Linked DNA regions of Neodiprion lecontei. The protein of the gene in region 1 interacts with the protein of each later gene in a pairwise test. Links are inferred from orthologs where the notes say so. Each region holds a gene or a part of one and is shown on either strand. Other genes may lie near its edges.

What was found. The genes of interacting proteins can lie anywhere in the genome.
Region 2: the proteins of SUMO-conjugating enzyme UBC9-B (region 1) and E3 SUMO-protein ligase PIAS2 interact in a two-hybrid assay, tested with the Drosophila melanogaster proteins (2 studies listed by BioGRID). The link is inferred for Neodiprion lecontei from reciprocal best matches to the Drosophila melanogaster genes lwr and Su(var)2-10.
Region 3: the proteins of SUMO-conjugating enzyme UBC9-B (region 1) and BTB/POZ domain-containing protein kctd15-like interact in a two-hybrid assay, tested with the Drosophila melanogaster proteins (2 studies listed by BioGRID). The link is inferred for Neodiprion lecontei from reciprocal best matches to the Drosophila melanogaster genes lwr and twz.

The regions. Positions count from the first base shown.
Region 1 is NC_060263.1:2,182,858-2,187,053, forward strand, and holds SUMO-conjugating enzyme UBC9-B, read right to left. Parts: upstream 2,432-4,196; 5' UTR 2,300-2,431; intron 2,203-2,299; 5' UTR 2,198-2,202; coding exon 2,132-2,197; intron 1,690-2,131; coding exon 1,606-1,689; intron 1,531-1,605; coding exon 1,268-1,530; intron 1,182-1,267; coding exon 1,115-1,181; 3' UTR 598-1,114; downstream 1-597. Other genes in the region: vitamin K epoxide reductase complex subunit 1, read right to left, coding at 1-14; spermatogenesis-associated protein 20, read left to right, coding at 3,134-3,267, 3,366-3,738, 3,837-3,980, 4,076-4,165.
Region 2 is NC_060260.1:32,572,003-32,578,705, reverse strand, and holds E3 SUMO-protein ligase PIAS2, read right to left. Parts: upstream 5,054-6,703; 5' UTR 5,039-5,053; coding exon 4,760-5,038; exon of another isoform or gene 4,730-4,759; intron 4,359-4,729; coding exon 4,192-4,358; intron 3,956-4,191; coding exon 3,857-3,955; intron 3,748-3,856; coding exon 3,582-3,747; intron 3,509-3,581; coding exon 3,215-3,508; intron 3,028-3,214; coding exon 2,926-3,027; intron 2,817-2,925; coding exon 2,576-2,816; intron 2,366-2,575; coding exon 1,952-2,365; intron 1,587-1,951; coding exon 1,366-1,586; 3' UTR 543-1,365; downstream 1-542. Other genes in the region: gamma-tubulin complex component 4, read left to right, coding at 6,664-6,703.
Region 3 is NC_060261.1:2,904,473-2,909,450, forward strand, and holds the start of BTB/POZ domain-containing protein kctd15-like, read right to left. Parts: upstream 3,043-4,978; 5' UTR 2,484-3,042; intron 1-2,483. UniProt on the Drosophila melanogaster protein: Functions with the transcription factor TfAP-2 to regulate octopamine neuronal signaling pathways that control behaviors such as male aggression, male mating, and the initiation of feeding.

The DNA.
Region 1 (4,196 bases):
TGAGCAAAGTACATCGGGCGAATGTAAGGAAATACAAAATACGCCCCACCATCGCGGTTCGCGGCTGCTACGCAGCTACAGGTTGCTTCTCGGGTCCGGCGCACACATGCGCCGGCGTTGACGTGGATTAAGAAGATTAAAGCGATGGACACAGTGTCATCTGTGAATAGCAGATTTCATTGATCGATATATCAATCGATGACTTTAACCTACTTGCGCATGAATAGCCATTGAATATTTTAAATTACTAGACTTTGCTCGAGGCAGCGTACTGAGCAATTTATTACATGCTCAATGAACATCACTCCGAAATCATAGTGACATTATTTCCAAGTAAATGTCATAACTTCATATTGTGTATAATGACGAGAATGCAGAAACTATTTTGAAAGGCTTGAAATTTGGTTTGAAGTAATAAGGCTTCGATTTAAAATTCATATTAATTTTTTGTTTATTGATTTTAATCGACAGAACAATGTAAAACGATATGTGGAATATTTTAATGATAAAAAAAAAACAAGAAAAAATAAAAAAATAAATGTAATTTCCTCTCTTCACTATATGACGTCCTTTTCTGAGACTACGCTATCAAAGCTCCTATTTTTACACAAATTTTATTGGATACATCGAGTATAAATACTTAGAGACAAACATTAATCGACTCAGCTTCCTAGAATAATTTTTATAGTATAATCATGGTTAGATTTACATTTGCAAAACCTGATCTTCGGTTTGCGCATAGAGTCATTATAAGTCTAACGATGTGTAACACATTTTTTCCTCTTTTCTTACATGTACATTATATAATGAAGGATAATTGTCCTTGGCATGGATTTCGAATAGGATAATTATTAATTTATCAGGCAGAAGATAATCTCACTGATATCGAGCACTCGTTGATAATAAACAATTTCATTGATAATTATACATAGAAGAAAATAAAATGATGATTCTGTTTTTACTTACCTATGTATATGTATGCAACATTTATGGTCATGTAAATTGTAAGTGGGGGAAAAATTATTTGTATATAGTTTGCATTATGTTATATTATATTTGTTGCAGGCTTAGAAAATAAAGTTTTGCTTTGTGGTAGGTGGAACGTTCGTGTTTTTTATTCTTGCGGTGCCATTGCTCTTGCCTGCGCCTTCACTCGTTTTTCATATTCCAAACGATTCTGGCTGCAATAATTGAGTTTCAATAAGTGATGTTGTCGCTGTAGACTTGGAAAAAAAAAAACTCAATCTATGCCTCGTTGAGTACTCACCAGTAAATAGTGTAAGCTTCTGCTTGGGCGGGATCTTTAACGTTTGGTTCATTAAGTAAATCTTGGATTCCTAGCAAGATTTGCTTGATTGTTATGGCTGGTCGCCAGTCCTTTTCTTCATCTAGGAGAGATAGGCATACAGTACCAGAAGGGTAAACATTAGGATGAAAAAGTGGGGGCTCGAATTTGCATTTTGGCGGACTGGAAGGATAGTCGTCTTTGAATATCATTCGCAACTTGTACAGCCCGCCTTCCCATGGAGTCTACAAAGAAAATTACCATCAGATTTTAATAAATTCAAGGCAGATTTTTAGGAGCAACGACTTGCAATATCTTACAGTTTTCTTTCCAGGTATAGCACATTCCCAGCTCATCAAATTAAGTGTTCCATCTGGATTTTTTGTAGGCCGAGCTACAAAGCCCTGTAAGTAAACAAATGAAATTCAAAATCTGGCCGCCTCTGGGTGTTTGTAACAAATTTTGAGCATGTCACATACAGCCTCGGATCTCAGCACAAGTAATTCAATAAATGAAGATACCCAAAAGGAATAAGAAATAGGTTAGGTTTGGTTATCTGGTTTCAGAAGAAAAATTTTCCCATTCAAAAACAAAAAAAATTTAGACCACTTGAGGTAAAAACGATGAGATTGACCTGTGCACTTTTTACATGTGTGTGCGTGCGTATGTGGACGACAATCTTTCATGACATGATTTATGTATTCGGAGGGTTTATTATGCCCTTACGGCCAGGTAATAATGGGAGGGATGGTTGACTAGGTAAAATGGTTAACTTGGGACCATCCAAATGACCCGGTTTCATCCAAAAGTACAATGCAGTAATAGAAGTGACAAGATAATACTTACAAATGGATGGTCTTTCCTCCATGCTTTTCTCTCCTCAGCGAGTCTAGCGATCGCGATGCCTGACATTAAATCTGCAAAATTAGTCCAAGCTTAGCAAGGCTCTCCGTGAGCTTAATCGCCGCGGCACGTGGTTATTTGGTTGTAATGTTAGCACTTTGGTACACACACCGTAGGTTCGAATGCCTTGGCACTTCCTAAGCCCGAAATCCGAATTTCGCAACGACTCTTTACGCTTTTTAGCGGCAATGACAAATACGATGAACCATGGAGAACGCAGTGTGTTCCGATTTTTAATGTGCAGTGTGCACTTTTCTACTGTGCTCAAAGCGTTTTCAATTGGCTGCACTGAGTGCGTTTTCCCTAGATTTACGCCTTTGCCATTAGTTGAAAATTAGGGAAATTGCATGCGCACCCAGTGCAGCCAATTAAAAACGGATATGCATTTATTTCCCACATTTTCAAAATGAAGGAGCTGAAAGGCTTGAGCTTATCTGATTAATCCGTATTGAAGAACCAGCTGATCGACAGCTTTGCCCAAGCCTTTCTTTTCGAAAAGTTGGGAAACAAAAAATTGCACCATTATCAAATTATCCCTAGGAATCCTGAGTGATAACGTCGATCCTTCGACCGGATGTAAGCTACTTTGTATGAGGAGTATTTAACACCACGTTGCGGTTCTCAGCTGGTTACATAGCCACGGGGAAAAGGTAGGTCAAACGTCAAAAACTATCATCAAAACTGTCAGACCAAATGCAAAATAGTGTATGTGATAAATATTTATACGCACTAACATGCGAACGAATTGGTATAGGCTTTGGTATAGGTATACGTGCCGTATATAATCATGTGTAAATAAAATTGCGCATACACGCAACACGTATACCTATGAACGTTATTATCTTTTTCTCACTTTGCGATAAGGTTAATTTGAAACTCGTTATATAATTATTCAAGTGAAAATTACTCAATAATTATTATTTATAATATTATATTTTAACACATATGTATGTTATGATTCCGCGAAGATGTTCAATATGGACATCAATTCGTCGCTTTTCTTCTGAACATCAATTCAAAAAATTCTCCGCCAAGGACATTAAACTGCTTCAGGTAGTCAACAACTATCATAGCAAAAGGTTCGTATATCCATGGAGAGAAAATTCGTAAACATGATAAAGCCAACAATTGGTTTTAAATAGTCTGATAATGATATTTGTTTTTCATTCATTTACAGATATATTCATAGTGAACGGTTATTCATTCCTTACAGTGTAAGAATGACCTCGACGACGGTGAAAGGTGAACCTTCTGAAAGTAAAACCCAAAATAAATTGGCATTTGAGAAGTCTCCTTACCTTTTGCAACATGCAACAAATCCTGTTCATTGGTTTCCTTGGGGTGACGAGGCAATTGAAAAGGCTCGGCGTGAAGACAAGCTTATATTTCTGTCAGTTGGATATTCCACCTGTCATTGGTGCCATGTCATGGAGCGGGAATCCTTTGAAAATCCTGAAATCGCGCGTGTTATGAATCAGTTTTTCGTCAATGTGAAAGTTGATCGCGAGGAGAGACCTGACATTGACAAAATATATATGACTTTTATTCAAGTAAATATACACATGTTCATTTAAGATGTCATTCTATAAGTTATGTTAACGAAAATATCTAAGAGAAATAACTCATTTCCTGCATTAAATTGTTTCAGGCTATTTCTGGACATGGTGGATGGCCAATGAGCGTATTTTTGACCCCCGAATTGACCCCTGTTACAGGAGGAACCTATTTTCCCCCTGTCGACAAGTATGGTCAACCTGGTTTTAAAACTGTATTGACCACCGTTGCACACAAAGTACATATTCAACGTGATATTTATCTGCCAAGTATTCCATTTTTTCACCAATTTATTCCTATTATATCTCAAGTGTTGATATTTGTTGTTTACAGTGGATTGAGAGCAGGAGTGATGTATTAAATTCTGGCAACAGAATCCTTGAAGTATTGAAGCGATCCGTTGGTGTGGAAAGTCTACATAAAGTATGTTTGCTCTACGGTAGAGCAGCTTGGA
Region 2 (6,703 bases), on another chromosome or scaffold:
TCTACTTACTTCCTTTTCTCGGACACGCATCGCGGTACCTGAACATCCAATTTGAACGCATCATTGCTCTAAATGAACATTGGTTTAAGCTTTGAAAGAAATTTTTTTTTATCACTCGATTATCGTACGCAGATTACGGGAAACAAAACGTTTTCTTCCATCAGTTACAAGCTGAACATAAATAATATTGCTGATACAAATCAAAGTATCGATTAATTTTCTCAATATATTATGCCAAGTAAAGGAAGACGAGCAAATAAAGCGAACATTTTCAATTCCATGCATGAAATCATTGCACAGCTTTGATTTTGTGTTAGTGACAACGACGCAATCGCGTCTTTTCATGCATTCGGCAGCTTATCACGTAATCAGCAACACGCGAAATGTTAGGGTTTAAGTATAGAGTGCAATACTCTTTCGCAATATTCAGTTTTGCTAGCAACAAGGAAAATTACGTACAGTCACATGGAAGTGAGGCAAGGTATCAAATTTGGTGTTAGATATTCGCATGCACATTTAAAAATATGCAGAAGACACGTAACCGAGTAGGAAGTTTTTTTTTATTTTATGTCATTTCTTATACAAAAATACGAAATAATCAAGTACATAATATGGTAACGTTACACGACTGTACTCAGTGCCTATTTCATTTTATCGCAAGTTACGTACAAGCTATTTCTTAGCATTAAACATATTTTTGATAGCTAGTTTAGAATAAAAGTAAACGAAAGAAAAAGAATATCAATAACTGTACGTTGTATACGTGTCCCGCATCTTCCATTATGATATTTAAACCGTAAAATTTCAATGGAAAGAATACAATTCAAAGCCAAGCACCAAACTTGGTGGGGAAACTAAAATTGTAAAAAGAATAAAATATCATGAAAATGATTCAATTATCTGCAGAATTTGGAATTGTGCTCAACAAAGCGACAATTATTTTACACATATTATGTTCTCGCTACATGTTATGGATGCTCTCTCCACAATATTTTAAAACATGTATAGATGTCCTTAAATCTGGTAAGCTGTTTCGTTTTAACGAAAAAAAAAAGGTTGATGAGTTTTTATACAGTTATATGTCTACCGTGTGTACCTTTAAATACTATCCAGCTGATTAGGAGTTGTTGACGATATTCAAATCCTAAATAATCAGTAAATAAATACATGAGAAACGAATCCGTGTTACACGTCATGACACCCAATTTCTACCGCCATACAGCGCCGTTCACACAGTGCTTAGACTGACAATGAGTGCATTATCTTTGTACTGTTTTTTATTCATTATGTTCGATACTAAACCTGGATTCTATTCCGGGTTCTCACAGCCTCAAACAGTTAGTCATCAATATACAGGAACACTTCTTACTCCAAATCAATTATCATTAATTCTGGAGACTCTCTAGTACTACTTATTGCACTATGAGCACCGGACTGGGTTTTTTGTGGCGACAACGTCCCAGTATTAGGTTTTTTATTCGAACTTTGTGATGGGTTTGAATCATCATCGCTGTCTGATATTAGATCGATGACAACAGCACGTTTCTTCTCATTTGGTGACAGTGGTGATGGGTTGGTGGACTCATCTGAAAATAAAACGTGTTGTACGAACATCAGAAGATTAAGGTACACCTTTACAAGTAAATTCGATTCCAATCGCCTCTCATTTAAACAGGTCAGCAATAAGGTTAACTCCGGTAGCTTGTAGCCAAACGTAGTAGTGTATGGAGCAGATATGATGTGTATTTTCTAATAGGCGTAGGGTAGACGCTAGTGCTGGCAACCTGATTTTTGTCCCGTTAAAATAAGGGGGCTCAGAATCGACCCTACCTGGGCGTAACTTTGCTCAAAATTAATCAGCATTACTTTCAATAATAACAGTTTTTTTTCAATTTTCAAAGTGAAATTCCTAAAACTTCTACGAAAATAATGGAGGGGTTTACCAACTTACCAAGATCTAGCGTTTCCACTTTCTGTAATGATTTAACCTCAGCATTAACTTGATTTTTATCTTTGTCTTTGTCTTTATCTTTTTTCATAACCAAATTTTCCCAGGAGCCATCTTGTAATAACTGTATCTCATTACCATCAGGCAGTAACTTATTTGAATTCAATACTTCTTGGAAATAACCATCAATAACCAAGTTGTCATAAAGTGCAGGTTTGTCACAAACAGGACAATTCCATGTGGGCTTTCGTTCGTTCATTTGCAGAAATAAAGAAGCGTCAAAACATTGTAGATGCAAACAAGTCGAAGCTCTGCAAGGAGTACTCATCCTCATTTTTCCCAGTGGACAAGCCAGTGAAACTCTCAATGAAGTTGTCGCTATTTCACTATCTGCATCTTCATTCAGCTTTTCTTTTACTGAGAGCAAAAGAAAAAAAGAACAGAATCATGATTCAGCCAAAAAAGCAGCCTGAGTCTCAGGAAATTCAGCTGATAAAATTTGAAGGCGTTATCATTGATTAAATTTCAACACTTTAAAACAAAATGCTGAATCACAGTAATGAGTGTTAAATAGATTAAAGGTATCGAAACTATCGGAGTAGAAGTACTTGATTAAATTCAACTTACTTAGTCCGCGAGTGTAGTCGGAATGTCTGACACCTCTGCTTTTCAATCTAGCCAACAATTCTGAGCTTGTCAACTTTCTAACAAGATAAACAGCAATAGCATATCGTCTACCATAATCTGCAGACCATGAGACATGTATTTGATTTCCTACTGTTGGTGATAATTTCACTAATGGACTTATATTCACTGGTCTAGGTGGTCGCTTAGGTTCGACACCAGGCTTGTTAGTTGGTATGGGATTCTGAAGTTATAATAAAAAATGTTTTGGATGGTATAATGGTGATATATCAACTATAAAGATAAATAAGAATCGGGTGAATTTAAAAAACTTGAATATATATATATAATACCGGTAATGGGCATAGTTTTCCATTGACTTTAACTATGATACTAGGTGGAAAGTAGTCCTCCTGTTCGCAAGAAGTTTCTTGCAAGCAAAATCGCATCTGAACCTGTATAATGAGTACAACAAACATTTAGATTGTAAAACCTCAGGAAGATTTTTGTTACACACAAAAAAATAATACTTCAAACATGTTTCTAAATATATACAAAAGATAAACAATAGCAATAACCGTGACGTTCGAAAAAATGCTATTGCCTTCTAGCTATTGACCGTAAAATATTAGAGCACACCACCTGTACAGTATAGTCCATTTTACTCCCAGCACGGCAGTCTCGTGAGCTAGCAATGTCTGTAGACTGTTGTGGCGTTAAGTGAAATGTGAAAGTGCCTTCTTGAACTCTCATAGATCCTTGTGGCATAAGACTCGAAGGCTTCAACAGCTCTCCAAGCAGGTCAAAGAATGGTAGCTTTTTAAGCCTGACATCAGGGTGAACTGGATACTGGTTTGGTTGTTGTAATTGCAGGGGAGGCGGTAGTACTTTTGTTGGATAGGGATAAGGATTATAAACAGCACTAGACGAGCGTTGCTGAAATTAACAGATAGTTTAGCACTTCACAAAATAAGTACTTCAATTATCTTCAAATGAAAACCAAATCTACCTGCGGTGTAACACTGGTGTATCCAGTTGGTTGGTAAACAGATGATGTTCTCGGTGCCACTTGGGATTGAGGCATCGATGCCTGATGCGCCGGGGGCAAATCCTTCCCACTTGAAATAGATGATTGGGCCTGCTGTTGTTGACTCATTGCCTGAGCATGGCCTTGCCTAAAACAATTGGATTAAGATTCAGGAACAAACAAATAAACATGTTCCTACTCCTTACAGAGTCAATGGATATCTTAGAAGTGACATAGTTAATGTAACTCTGACTTACCTTGTATAATAGTTACGGGAATGCATGTTTTGATCGATTTGAGGCTCACCGTTGTCGCCACCTTGACCATACAGCTGATGTGCGGCAAGTTGATCTTGCCTGTGACACAGATTTTTATTGTACTGACAATATGAGTGAAAGAAAGAACTATGTGTATTTATTAATAAATCAGCAAAGTATCACCGTTTCAAACTGGTTCCATTCATTTTATTAGAACATGGCTGTTTAATTATGAACTGTGACAGCTGTTACACGTTTGATGTAATCCTTAAGTATTATTGTTCTGACAGATATCTAGCCAAAGGGAATGAAAATTGGTATAAATATTGGCTTACTGTATGGTTCTATAAAGGTCGCGAATTTTTAGCTGCACAGGATGGGATCGAAGGCGTAATAGTTCCAAAGCTCGTGTTTGAAGTTCGTTTTTTCGACCTGATTTGTTTCGCCCAGCAAAACCCAAAAGCATCTGAAGTTCAGATACTCGAAAACTTAATACCATACTCTGAAATAGACAATTGACATTTTTATAGCCATAATAGCCCAAGATAATTATAGACAAACTGAGACTTCACAGAATGAGAAAATGTCTTTAATGATAACAACATTAGGCAATAACGACAAATTCTTCCTGCTAGAAAATCGTACCGTTTCTGTCTAGCTATATTCTCAAATGTTATTACACTCTATAGTACTAGTCGGAAAAATATATAATCAAATATGACAATTTTTCCCAACCTGCCATATACGAAGTGCACAAAAGTAAACTCTTGTGCCCAAAGTAGATAGATGGGGAGGCAATTCCAAAAAATTTTGTAGAGTAAAATATGTTGATTATTTGAATAGCGTGATGCATAAGCTAGAGATAGAGGTTACCCATTGTAGTTATCAGTTGCTCCTACTTGCCGTCTCGTATCCGCATTCCTGTGTTATGCTTGAGATACACGAGAAGTTTCCGAATTGAATGAAGATACGTTTACGAAAATATGGAAGTTGGAAATTGGACGAATGTGAAGAAAAGCGAAAAGCCGCGTGTGAAAATAAATGTCGCTTAGTATGATCAAACGCAGCCTTGCTTGCGTTGGCAAGACATTGGAAGAGTTTGGATATGTGAATGTTCGATAATTGGTGAAAAATAAGACACGGAAAAATCAATGACTCAAGTTTCTGGAAGGCATTTAACATGTGGCTCGTTTAAGTCAAGATAATAAGATCTATTTTATTCTCGTCCTACCTTCAGTTCTTCCGTATCCGCCATCTTCCTCGACGATTTTTTTTGCGAAGCCGTCTTGTCTGCTGTGCTTCCCACCACTTGAAGAAAATTCCCGTTCGTTTCCCGCGTTGTACGCCGAAATTTTTATTTTCGCTGTAATATGCTGAGCACTTTTATGTCCAGCGTCACAGAAGACTGATCACTCCTTATCTTAATTGTTATTGTATTTTGGAAAAGCTTTTAGTGGCCTTTGACGATCACAATACGTCTGGGTTCATGGAATTATTCAAGTTTCCTTCAAGTTAAGACTTGGAAGTGAAATTTAAACAATTATTTGAAATTGTTCGGAATAGACTGCGTACTGGCTGCGTTTACTCCGAAAATTTATCTTTTTCCAAGGCTATGCTCCAAAATTAGTTGACAGTACTGTCAGCAATCTTTTATCTTTGTTGTATTTCAAGTTTGACCACCAGTTCTGTTTCTAGTTAATGAATTATCAACGGTCGCAGCTCATTTCGGAACACACCCTTCTATATGGGTAGCCATAGACCGCTAGCCAATGTCCACGTGCGCCATCTGTGTAATTTTCATGCAACAGGGCTATGAGAACGACTGTAAAACATTATAGAAAAGATTTTTCTCTGATATAAAGATGTATATTATATTATATATGCACACAAAAAAATCAATTTGATAACTGTAGAATATCTGTCAACGGTAGAGGATTATTCTTATTGTAGGGCAATAATTCACGCGCATTCTGAACGTTGCTATAACTAGTTAGAACGGAACAATCATGTAAGAGTCAAGAACATTAAAATCTTACCTACGACATGCCTACGACTAAACCGGAAGTTTTACAAACTTGAAGATTCCTGGTATTTCGGAACATTCAATTTCGTTCCTTCAATTTTTGACTAAAGATATTCGAAACTGCTAGCCTTATGGACTGCTGAAGGGCGAGGGGGAACGTTACAATATTCTGCTACGCCGACTTGATCTTGCATTAGGATCCCGCGGATTGGGATGAGACGAGTCAGTTGTTAAGTGCAGGGTAGTGGAATTACACCCAAACCTGCCCAGTAGAGCTGGCAAATTACTATCAAAAATAACGCAGGGCTAGCTGGCAGTCTCCAACAGTGTCCATCGTTTCACAAATTGTTACCGAGAAGTTGTTATAATGTTTACAAATATTGTTTTTGCATTGGCAGATTAATTGGAATTGTCTATGGCATAGCAATTTTCGAATTGCGGTTTGCATTGCAGACTGTAGCAAACAAGTGTGCTTTGATTTCCACAGATACACCAAAGGTTAATGAGAAATTTGAGAGAAAATCAAAAAATTCAATAAATATCTACCTCCCGCTGATTTTAACTAATTTCTCGAGAAGTTTCTTCCCTTAAATGCCGATACACGCATGCAAACACGGTCGTGCAATTGACGATGCACTTGAACTCGGAAGTGGATGCGTTTACACCAATGATTCAGACGTGTTCTCAAATCAAATTTAATCAGACTTCAATGCTCGAACAGCTCCAAACAACCTGGACTGGGTAGACGGATCTTATTGTTAAATGTGTTTTTGAAGCGAAAGAAATGCTGCACGAAGTTTTATTGTCTCTTTGGGGTTGCACGA
Region 3 (4,978 bases), on another chromosome or scaffold:
ATTTGACCAGTTATACTCTCTCGCCTACTTGCCAACTAGACGGAAACTTCGGATACGCTACGCATATACTTACACATGGGTATGAGATACAGGCTGCGTGACCGAGGACCGCATGTTACACCTTTCGTATACGTACCTACTTTGCACCCGGTTCTAGAAGTGTTTGAAAACTCGTTGGAGATTACCTTGCGTTCGGAATATCATTCCGGCTTTCATTCTGAGAGCGGCAAAGATTCGGCAAAGTGTTGTAAGGAAGATAGCAATATTCGAAATTTTTTTCAATCAGTAATCACGGAATTGCGTGCATACAATACCAAAGTTTTCGTTATTCGGAATTAAGTCCAATTTTTGATGCAGTTACGTAATTATATATCATGACATGCAAGTTGACGTGTCTCGATACGAGACTTTTGAAAATTTTAGAAACGCCAGATACTTCCGGTTATACACAGGCAGTCGCTTACAGAGATTCGTGAGTGATGAAGCTTGTTACAAGTAGACCGGTACATGATTGCAACGATTCTTGCAGCAATCGAACTTTGTTAACATTATATTATACCTAGATGCGAATTTCTCAATTTTCATATCTTTCATAACGTTTCAGCAATAGTCTTCAAACTTCGAACCAACACTCATCTGAAATATTTTTCTCAATTCTGAATTAATCATTTTCCGTAATCTATCACATTCGAAATATCAAGTGTCAGATTAGTGATTTCAATTTTCAAAACCATCCAATTTCATTATTCCTCAACGGTTCGACGAAACTTCGTCCATTATACGATCCAGCGATGAAACACCGGTGTTCGAAAACAATATTAAATCATTGAAGATCTGAATAATTCAAGAATCTCTAGCATTCCAAAAACACAAAAATCCATCTGCACATCGGAAAAAAATCTGAAACTCTAAACTTTCCTGGGAGTATACAAGACACTAATCTATAACTCGTACTGTATATTCGTACCTCACTTGAAGTAATTAACAAGATCGACCTCTATAAATACTTGTGTTACTACAATATCATCGAAGCAATTATACACGCCGATACGTTATATTGTCTGACGACGATATCAAAATTTTACTAACGTAGGAAAAATCCTTAGTGAAATGAAAAAAAAATTAAGGGTCAACCGTTTACCAAGTCGGCGTGGAATATACCGTACACACACACGTACATACGTGTATAAAAATATGGATATTTTCTCCGTCCGTTCATCCCCCTCCCCCTCCACCCCTCACCCTGATCCCGAATAAGTTCGGGGCCTCTTATACTGACGCGAACGCCTGCGGCTCGCCCTCCGGGCTTCTGCTCTAATTACGGGAACGGAACGAGAAGCGCGTCTGCACCCGGGGGCCCCCGATGCCCCGGGCGTCCCGGTTCCTCTCCTTTCACCCTCCTCCCCGTGTCCTCAACCTCGGAGGGCCTCAGGGCTCCCCGGGTTATCCTCAACCATCGCTAGTCTTTCCAAACGCCACTGATGTGAGCTCGAGGTGCAGTGTAAATGTATATATATATATATATATATATATATAGGTGTAGTATAAAGTATACGCGATTGAAACACGCCTTATATTATATATTTACCGCAGGGAGAAGGAGCAAAGGATCGAGATGAGGGAAAAGATGAGGAATATTGTGACGAGGGGTGCCCCTCTGCGTCAGATGCTCGGAAAACGTTCTCAACCCACACCTGTATAGGTATACTAACAATTCGAGTTCTCTGTCAGGTTTCAACTGCACCGAAATTTCACTTTTCAGTTTAATCGGATTTAAACCGATGCGAAAATCGAATAAATTTATCCTTTTTTTTAAAAATTTTTACCTTAATTAGTGATAAAGTTTAATGATTTGTTTGGATTAAAAACTGTTGAGTATGTAATCGACTAGCTATGGCATCAATTCCCGATTTCGCGCAGACACGGCTGTCTGTATCTACAGTATACCTATATGTTATACTTATATGTATGTGCATACATCACGTTTAATGGCAATTTCGCTCGTGCTCGGTAGCTTCTGGGTTTTAATTGCCCCGCTTTGCGTGTTGATTGGTCTCAGGTCGCAGCACCAATTTGTATACCTATCATACGATTCATTCTCGTAAATCTTTTCATACCAGATCGCCATTCCCCGCACTTTATTCTCCTCGTACGTTATAATACGAGCGAACAAGTCAAACCACTGACAAGAATTAGATGTGTAAGAAAAAAAAAAAAAATACCCCGTATCTGAACAGTTGCTTACAAGTTCAACAAGTTACAATCGTTCATTGATCAAATATGTGCGCGGTTAAAATTAATTTGAAAACGGTGGGCTGATAGTCGCTTTGACATTTGAAAACGGTGGGCTGACAGTCGCTTTGACAGACTTTTGGATTAAGAATACAAAGGGCTTTAATACGGAAATGGCATGCTGAAGGGACTCCGCATTGCATGATGCACCCGCATGAGGATGTTGGAGAAAATATCTGCGTCATGCTCACCGTTTCGGACACGTGGCCTCCAGGTTGACGGCTCCTCCCCGATTGTCCACGACGAATTGTTTTCCCTTGATTTTCTTCAACTTGACCAAATTCCGTGGACGATCAAAGATTCGAAATTCCAATGCGATATAATCAGGCACTTTCGAAGCACTTTGTATTCTTCGATTTTCAAATAAATCCCCCTTTGCTTTGCCAACTGGTCACCACAAGATAGTCGGGTGTATTATAAGAGGTAAAAGATCGCACCAACTCACACGCGAAAAAAAGAAATGAAGATTGAATAACGAAAATGAAAAAGAAACTAAGAAATGAAAATAAAAACATTAAGGAGAAGAAGAAGCGAAAAGACACGCAGTCAGTCGTCAAATTCTCGATATGCGCGGAAAATGCGACTACGAGGCGACGGTCCTCCTGTCATCGGCACGTAGGCATCAGCTACGCCCACCTTCCTCTTAATTATTATATTATATATCTATAATACTCGTCACACTTGTCACGTGGTTGGTTTTCCCGCGTTAATATCGGACTGGTGCAGCACATCGACGCGCACGACGCGACAGCCGGGCGGGAACTGCGCTGCTCGCGACGTCGAGACGGACCGCAGGCCACCGATCATCCTACGCTGGCGTCGCGACGCCGCCGCCGCCGCCGCCGCCGACGACGACGACGCCGATTTCGATATCCGGCGATATTTTCACTCGGTGCCTTCATCGGGGTCTCAAGGTACTCCAAAAATCACGGATTGATCCAGTTTTACCTCTTCACGAATCCAGGAAAAAAGTGGAAGTGGGTGTAACTAGGGACATTGGGTTGGTGACCATGAAGCCGAAATCAAGATTTGGTACCGCGGAAGAATTAATCCGAAACTGCGTTATGGCGCAGGTTCGAGTCGCCAGAGATCGGCCAAAACCGGGTACAGGTATTCGTAGTCTCGATCATTTCTGATCGCTACTTATAGACAGGCGATGCGTACGATAGTTTTTAGGATTGGTGATCTGGGATAAAGCACCGTTGCTGTAGGAACGAATTTTTCACGAGGCGGTATAACTTGTGCGACAAAATTCACTTACTATTCTCGTTTCGATTATGGTACTGGTTTAGAGTCGAAGATGACACTCTGACATTCGTTCACGCGCTAAACGATGTACTGTACAGGATTCAATTAGAACTTCGCCGAAACGCTAATTATTGCTCCGAGAGAAAACATGTCAGTGTTGTGTAGCTATTTTGGTGCTTGGACGGAATGGGTGGATTTTGATGAAAAGAGGTTGATCCGAGATGCGTTAAATGGTCTTGGGAGAATTCCTTTTGTAAGTTTATTGATTTGACACGGTGGTCAACGAAAAATGTATATAACACAGAGCTGCTTCCCGGGTGTTGTTGCACGCAGCGTTTGATATTGAGGGAACGCGGGCTGGCTCGCCTTCGCAAGGTTCACTACTACACGGAGATATTCCTCTACAGGATATTGTAGTTATATTGGAATAGCCCAAGGGCGAAGCAGCCACGGCCAACAACGTTATTCCTCGATGCCCAAGGCGTTTCCGAACCAAATCGAACAGCACGAAACGGTCCGCGAACGCCAACGCCGACGCGAACGAGTATAAGAGCTGTAGGGCATGGAGCCCCGGCCGACTGCCCGGCCAATATCCCATCACCATTATCCGCCGTCGGTGTTAATATGCAAATTTCAATGACAGAGGAAAAAAGCAAACAAAGAAACGGAACAGAAACGTTAAAAGATCGAACGAGGCTGCGCCGAATGCGGTTTCATCGCCAAATCCTAACATTCCACCACGTGCAATGTCAATGCACCAAAACGAAACACTCCTGACAGGGTGCTGGAAGTTGCCGAAGATATCCGAGATTCCATGGTGTCCAGTAAAAAATTCGTAACAAATTCGAGGACATTTTCGGGACCACTGGACATAGTGGATTCCAACGATCGGAATTTCCGTGGAAGGACCCTGCGGTAGACGCATCTGCACAGATGCACGAGGATGAGATCAGCCGTGGTTCGTCACCCACGTGGGCGAGTTATCCGCCCGACGAGGATAAGGTCGTCGTGCATGGTATCGCTCGTTGCCCCAGGGTCAGGGGCTCGAGTCCCTGTCGACGAATGGCGGGGGTATGACTGTACGAGTGCGCGAGAGAGAAAATAACCTCGTGTTTTTGTATCATACCTCGGCGCTCCAGAGTCAACCGGACGAGCGACGGACCGATGGACAGACGAACGGACGGACAAATCGGGCCGCCTCGGGGCATCCGTCGGGATGTAACGAGGAGTCCGCGTCGCCCGAGGGTCCACATATTTTAGGGCGCGCCCTTCCGCTCGCTGGCCCTATACCTCTACGTGTCTTTGAAACGGGTCGTGTTTCGCCCGAGGCGTAAGGCCGCGGTCGTCTTCCTCCGCGCCTCTCCGCGCCTTCCTCCACGGCACCACGGGCTACCCTCATCATCAGACAATGCCGCCCTCCCTCCCTCCCTCCTCCGTT